Kluyveromyces lactis: one gene and its partner. The protein of the gene in region 1 interacts with the protein of each later gene in a pairwise test. Links are inferred from orthologs where the notes say so. Each region holds a gene or a part of one and is shown in the gene's direction. Other genes may lie near its edges.

Region 1 (4,088 bases):
ATTATATACCATCCATGGATGATGAAGCGTTCTGGAGAGACGCTGATCTTATAGTACTAGCATTACCTGGAACTCCAGACACAGAAGATATTATTGATAAGACTACATTGGAAAAATGTAAAGACGGTGTGCGTATCGTCAACGTTGGTCGTGGATCTTGTATTAACGAAGATGATTTATTAGATGCATTGGATAGTGGGAAGGTCATGTCAGCTGGCCTTGACGTCTACAAAAATGAATCGGACGTTGTGGATTCAAGATTCTTCGAAAGATGGGATATTACCTTACTTCCACATATTGGCTCCACAGTCATAGAAATACTCCAAAGGCAGACTGCTGCCACGTTAGAGAATATTGAAGGATTCTTCTTGAAAGGAACTGGCACAAAATACCCAGTTAACTAATGTTCTGAATATCTTCAAACTGGCGCTGGAAATGTTGGCTAACAATGATGGAAATATTACTAAAATGAGATGAAAAGTGTATTGATACTGCATAACCACCTTGATATCAACCACTCTTTGAGTTTTGAAGGCCTACTCGTTAAATAATAATAAATCCGAATATATACTGCATTACATAATCCAAGGCGGGGATCAACATTCATTAATTAACTGCTCCCAGCAGGCGTTCTTTCTAAGAACAGAGACTGTTGGCTGGTCGATTATAACATCTACAAAAGATCCAACTCATTATTACCGCCAACTCGTAATATATCCATCTCTGACAGAAGTCACTAAACGCGTTACAAGCCGTCTTCCCTTCGGCTTCCCTTTTATGTCAAGGACATTAAATTTTAGAAACCGTGAAAAATTGAATATCGCGTATCAAAGAATATTTTTCATAAAAGCTACTTTAATATCGTAACGTGTTTATCATTCAAATAGCGTCGTGATAACTTGAACCCTATTTATCAAACAGTACCTAGTATCAGTATCTGAGGTCTACGGAGTGATATATTCTTCAATTTTAGATTTTGCTGGTAAAGTTTGGGGTACAATATATGAAGAGCTTGAGGATATCGTTTTATCTTTAAGAGTATACCCAATCTTTTCACAATTTAGACCATCAGGACAATACGGTGGGCAGAAACAGCTCTTTCTCTGACTCTATCGCATTGAATCCTCATCGTCAGGTCTTTGTATCATTGAAGATGGAGCAATTTAATGACTCCCTTAAAGAAACTACATCATCGACTTTAAAGCTTTTGGAGCAATATGAGAATCATATTCAGGAGAAAGACAGAAATTTAGATTACATAGAAAAAGGTGACTCGAGGTTTACGAAAGATCGCGAAACAGGACCTAGTTACGACGAATGTTTTAAAGAGAACGTGAAATTGAGGCTTAAAGTCGAAGAATACGAAAAGGAAATCAAACTGTTAAAGGAACTGATATCTAAACTCAAAGAGAATGCTGTACCTGTAGTAAATTATGAACAACAGCGATTAGAAGTAGAAACCCCGAAAGATCCCACATTTTCGTTACCACCAAGATCAGCAGATAGAATAAGACATATGAAGGACACTTCTGAACAGAGTCAGGTCAACGTCTACGATCTAAAGCTGCCTAGGTCCCCTGCCACCTTCCAATTAAATAACCAAAATTTCCAGGAAGAATTAAAGACAAACACTCAGTTCGAAAAAGCATTGAAAAATGATCATGCGTACGAGTCGACGCCGGCAACTGCTAGTACCAAAAAGGATCCCCAAGATGCGGGAAAAGATAGTTTAGCAACGACAGGGATACCAAATAATATTCTAGGAAGTCCAGCTACTTCCGTGACTTATACCACATCTCGAATATCGATAAATTCCAATTCACCGAATATCAACAATAAACCCCATTTGAAAAGACCCAAGTCACCAGCAACTTTACCAAATGGAGCTTTATCTCCCCAGCGAGCAAATCGTGTCACACACTTGATTAACAATGAACTTCATTCTCCATTAAAAGACCAGTTTTCAGATGTAGATAAAGATTTCGTTGATGATACCGCTTCCACGTCTGGCGATGATATCACAGGGAGCTTTATACAAATGTCTCCAGCAGCCCAAAGAATCATCAAAGAGGATGAGACAATTATGGAGTTCTCTCCTTCATCCAAGCAGAATTTGAATAAATTTACTGACTTGATCAATAAGACCTTTGGGGACGATGATAGCCAAATCAAAGGACCCCCCGAAAAGGAATCTGCAGCTGCAGTAAGACCACCTGTATTCGATCCGCCGCTTCCTAGGGCCGATTCAAAAGTACTAGCTTCTCCTGTTATGATTCAAAACGCAGCAAATAATTTAACACCTTCTGGGCTTTCCTTTCCGCAGAAAACTGACATTTCTACTCATGACTTACTGAAAATTGTCTCACAAGATAACGTCTCAGCGATTTCTTCAAGCACCTCAATCCATAAATCTTTTTCACCCAAATCTGTCTCCTCACTTTCTCGTATCCAACCACCAAATCACCACACTTCATCAATTGACATGGGTTCTCCTTATAATGGAGAAGTACCGCAATCCGACAGTGTTTTACACTCACCCAACATCATATCTGATATACCTCTATTTGTACAACCAGAAGACTTTTCAACAATAGCTGTCGAAGCTTCTAGCACTTTGTACAGTAATCCTGAGGATGCAAGCAAGTGTATACTCTGCAGTGTCATTGATAAGAAATCATCTAAAGAGATGTTCAAGTTTGCGAAATCTCTGGACCAGTTATACGAGCTTGACCATATGTTGAAAATAAGGCTCATGGAGCAATATCATCTCCCGGAACTACCTAAAAAGCAACTATTTCAGACTACTGTTCCTGTTAAAGTCGATTTGAGAAGGGAGTTATTAACAGATTATTTATTAGCACTCTTTGAACTTAGTAACCTATCACCAGTGATGTCTCTAAAACTTGCACAATTTATTAGTACAGATACCGCAATCTCCGTACCAATTGGAATGACTGACAGCGTAAAAGAAGGGGTACTTTTGGTACGCAAAAATAAGGCGTTGGGTAGCGGTAATTCTTGGAAAGTACGACAAGCTGTAATTGAGGATCAAACTTTGTTATTATTCGATCAAGAAAATCTAGTGGAGAGCATCAAGTTGGTAAGTAGTACAATTGAATTACAAGCGAATTTACCTGATGATAAGTACGGCACTAAAAATGGGTTTATTTTGAATGAACCAAAGAAGAGCGGTCTTTCTAGCACATCCAGGCATTATTTTGGCGCTGAAACCGCCAAACAACGAGAAGAATGGATCAGCGCTCTTATAAAAGTTTGCAGCAACTCCGTTGCAAATATCAAAGCAGATACTCTTTCTTCTGCCCAAGATCAAGGAAGTATCAGCGATGCATCGGTAGATACAAGCAGCAGTGCTGCGATTGGACCAATGGTTAACCTCGAAATGCTTGGTAAATCTCAACAAGTCGAACCTGCAACAACTGAAATGGATAGGGAAACCAAAAGGAATAGAATGAGGTCCTTTTTCCCATTCAAGAAAAATCAACCTCAGCTTTCAACTTCTTCCTTAGATATTACTAAAGAATCGGACGAAACATCTGCTGAAAGGTCTTTTGCTAGTGCTCTCCATGGCATGAACCTACATGATGAGGCAATTTCCAATGTTGTATTTGGATCCGACATCAAACACTGCCTAAGCTTGAGTTCTAGAGTATACCAAAACACTCACGAGATACCAACCGTTGTTTACAGATGTTTGGAATATTTGTATAAGAACAGAGCCATAAATGAAGAAGGTATATTTAGATTAAGTGGATCAAGTGCTTTGATAAAAACCCTCCAAGAACAATTTGATAAAGAATATGATGTAAATTTATGCGAATACAACGCTTCACATGAGGGCAGTTTGAAGAATGGTCCCTATCTAGATGTCAATACGGTTGCGGGACTTTTAAAATTATATTTCAGAAGGTTGCCTCATCTAATATTCGGTGATGACATGTACGAAGAGTGTAGGGTGATTGCTGAAAGAAATTCAGGAAAGCCAACTGAAACTGCATTGCAGTTCAGAGAATTGGTATCAAACAAGAGATTTGAAATGGAAAATTATTCATTGATGTTTGTTTTATTTG
Region 2 (3,146 bases), on another chromosome or scaffold:
TTGTGCGATATGAGTCAACTTTTGCTTCAAGAAACGCACATTATGCTTCTGTTTCAAGAAGTTAGCCAAGTTTACTATGAATACTGGACAATTGAAGTTCCATGAGTTGAAAGCGATACCAAATTGGGCTCCCTCAGGTTTGAATTTTGCAAGTTCTTCCTTCGATAGGACCTTATACTCTTCCAAATATTGGCTCAAGGAATTAATCTTGGCCTTGGGAGGCTGGTAATCCCATAATTCCGTGGATGGTCTGCGAGCTAATCCTAACCACTCTGCATCTTTACCCTTGTAGAAATCCAGTAATTTTTCACTTAAAGTAGGTAAATTCTCATACGTGAACCTATCATACCACATGACGTTTTTATCATCAGGTGAAATACAAGACCAAACACCACCTGCCCATGGACTAGTATAACCAGTGGGTGACTGGTCACCTGGTAAGTAATCTGCCACAATGCAGATATTTTCACCCGGAACGCCGTACAATTCGGTCAAACAGTACGTGACGTACAAACCAGAAATACCTGCACCAACAACAGTGATCAATGGCTGAGATTTGTTAGACATGTCATTTGATAATTTCAGGCTCAAATAAAGCTTACTGATGAAATTGTGACTTTCACCGCTATAGATATATTCAGTAGATGTTTTACTCTACTATAGAAACTGGGAATGCTCAAGTAAGTGATCTGCCAATTGGCTGTTTCCTACTTCAAACTGAAACTAGGTTGGAAAACTTTACTGAGGAAAGAGAATCTCAATCCCATGTCCCTTCACTTATGTATGTTACCGATGACAAACCATGCTATTCTGACAAACGCGCTGCCTCGACCCCACCTATCTTAGATATCACTTCCAGCTCATTTACAGTCAAGTCATGTTGCCTTCTCTCGAGGAACTACCATTTAAGGTAACTCGAAAAATCTGTAAATCCACGTTGCGGTCTTAGCTATTCCCTTATCAATTCTCTGTTAACTTTAACTATGACTTTCAGTTCACCTATCGGGAAATGAGTTCCGCAGATTTACCCGCATGGATCCAATTTATGCTCAGTCGCAGTGGTAACAACCGACAGAACATGTGTGAAACTGCACTTTCTTGAACGGTGAAGCGCATTGCGGTATGTCCGAGCAGTGATGTGTATTATAAGTCACATGACTGACACCGGGGTAACATTTTTTCAGGTTTCGAGATTGGATGGAATGTTCACCAACATGAAACAAAGATTCAAGGACGAAACATTCTTTATCTGGACGACATGGAACGTCGCGCATTGTGTCAACTCAATGGGATACTTAAGGCGCCGAGTCAACGCTCGGGAATGACGATAAAGGATTCCCATCCAGAGTTTTGCAATTGGACGCTATAGGTATATATAATATTTAATCCTTAGTGGGGGGAAACTAAATCTATAATAGTGGAATAGCAGAGATCATTATAACAAGCAAACCGGAGATCTAACAGCATAGAGATGCCACGAACAATCACGTATGATATCCCATCCCATTATCAACTAGTAGATCTGGTTGGTGAGGGAGCATATGGTACAGTTTGCTCTGCGATACATAAGCCAACAAACACGAAAGTTGCAATTAAAAAGATACAGCCGTTTAGCAGATCGATGTTTGTTACCAGGACGTTACGGGAGTTGAAACTGTTGAAATTCTTTCATTCGCATGAAAATATCATATCGGTCTTGGATATAGTACGTCCGACGTCATGGCATAAATTTGAAGCAGTTTATCTTGTACAAGAGTTGATGGAAACGGATTTGCAGAAGATTATCAACCAACAAAATTTATCAGAGGATCATATCCAATATTTCGTTTATCAAATACTAAGGGCTTTAAAATCGCTACATTCGGCACAAGTAATCCATAGGGATTTGAAACCAAGTAATTTGTTACTGAATAGCAATTGTGATCTCAAAGTGTGTGATTTTGGGTTGGCTCGTTGCCTGGCATCGAGTGATCAATCAAGAGAGAATATGGTGGGTTTCATGACAGAATATGTAGCTACCAGATGGTATAGGGCTCCAGAAATCATGTTGTCCTTCCAAGAATACACAACTGCAATGGATATCTGGTCATGTGGATGTATACTAGCAGAAATGATCATGGGTAAGCCGCTTTTCCCAGGTAAAGATTACCACCATCAACTCTGGATCATCTTAGAAGTTTTAGGGTCTCCAACTTTGGAAGACTTTGAACAAATCAAGAGTAAAAGGGCAAAAGAATACATATCTCAACTACCCATGAAGAAAGGTATACCCTGGGCTAATGTGTTAAATAAAGAAGTTAACCCTCTTGCTATCGATTTATTGTCCAAGATGCTAACTTTCAACCCAGACAAGAGGATCAGTGCAGTTGAAGCGTTGGAACATCCATATTTGGCAACATATCATGATCCAGATGACGAGCCAGATTATCCCCAACTAAACCTTGAAGACAATTTTTGGAAAATTGACAACGAGGCCCGCGATAAAAACGAGGAAGACGATATTCCACTGGAACTGTTGAAAAAGATGCTTTATGGTGAAGTTATGAAGCCTCTAAATTGATATGTTCGATATTCTATGAACTAAAAAAAAACTATCCGCATAGTCTTTGAATGAATGTACTGAGACTCAAGGATTTTACGTTTCATGGGTACTTCTCATTAGGACGCCTAGTCTGTCAAATTGAGGAAAAGTAATACAAGAATTCTCATACTCATATTAGACAATCATATAGTTAATTACATAACTAAGTAAAGCTACGAATAACCACATCACGTTTTTCATACTCTTTGATCCCTTATGAACCTTAAGTGTACTTTATGCCCTGAAATGAAAAATAAAGTAGCGATATAATTAGAATGAACAAGAACTTGAACAAAAGACCCGCATCAATAGAAGAAAAAATGAAAACCAAAGTGGATCTTAAAGAAATCATCAAGAGCACCAAAACAGGTGCAAATAGCTTTAAGGATTGGTGAAGTGTATAAAACGTGTTATTCGGGGCTCGCATATCATAATTCGTTCAATATGATCAGTGAAACATCGACGATGCGGTTACCTTCAGAGATAGTCTATGAAATCTTATCATACCAGTTCAAGGATCTTATGTCTAATGATCACTCAGCTACTAGTGAGAAATATCACTCCA

Evidence for each region.
Region 2: the proteins of BEM3 (region 1) and KSS1 interact in a protein complementation assay, tested with the Saccharomyces cerevisiae proteins (2 studies listed by BioGRID, with this or other methods). The link is inferred for Kluyveromyces lactis from reciprocal best matches to the Saccharomyces cerevisiae genes BEM3 and KSS1.

What each region holds. Positions count from the first base shown.
Region 1 is NC_006042.1:69,383-73,470, forward strand, and holds the start of BEM3 (GTPase-activating protein BEM3), read left to right. Parts: upstream 1-1,153; coding exon 1,154-4,088. Other genes in the region: KLLA0_F00792g (glyoxylate reductase), read left to right, coding at 1-404. UniProt on the Saccharomyces cerevisiae protein: GTPase-activating protein (GAP) for CDC42 and less efficiently for RHO1. Negative regulator of the pheromone-response pathway through the STE20 protein kinase.
Region 2 is NC_006037.1:217,121-220,266, forward strand, and holds KSS1 (mitogen-activated serine/threonine-protein kinase KSS1), read left to right. Parts: upstream 1-1,471; coding exon 1,472-2,560; downstream 2,561-3,146. Other genes in the region: KLLA0_A02475g (FAD-dependent oxidoreductase), read right to left, coding at 1-567; LUG1 (Lug1p), read left to right, coding at 3,026-3,146. UniProt on the Saccharomyces cerevisiae protein: Together with closely related FUS3, KSS1 is the final kinase in the signal transduction cascade regulating activation/repression of the mating and filamentation pathways, induced by pheromone and nitrogen/carbon limitation, respectively.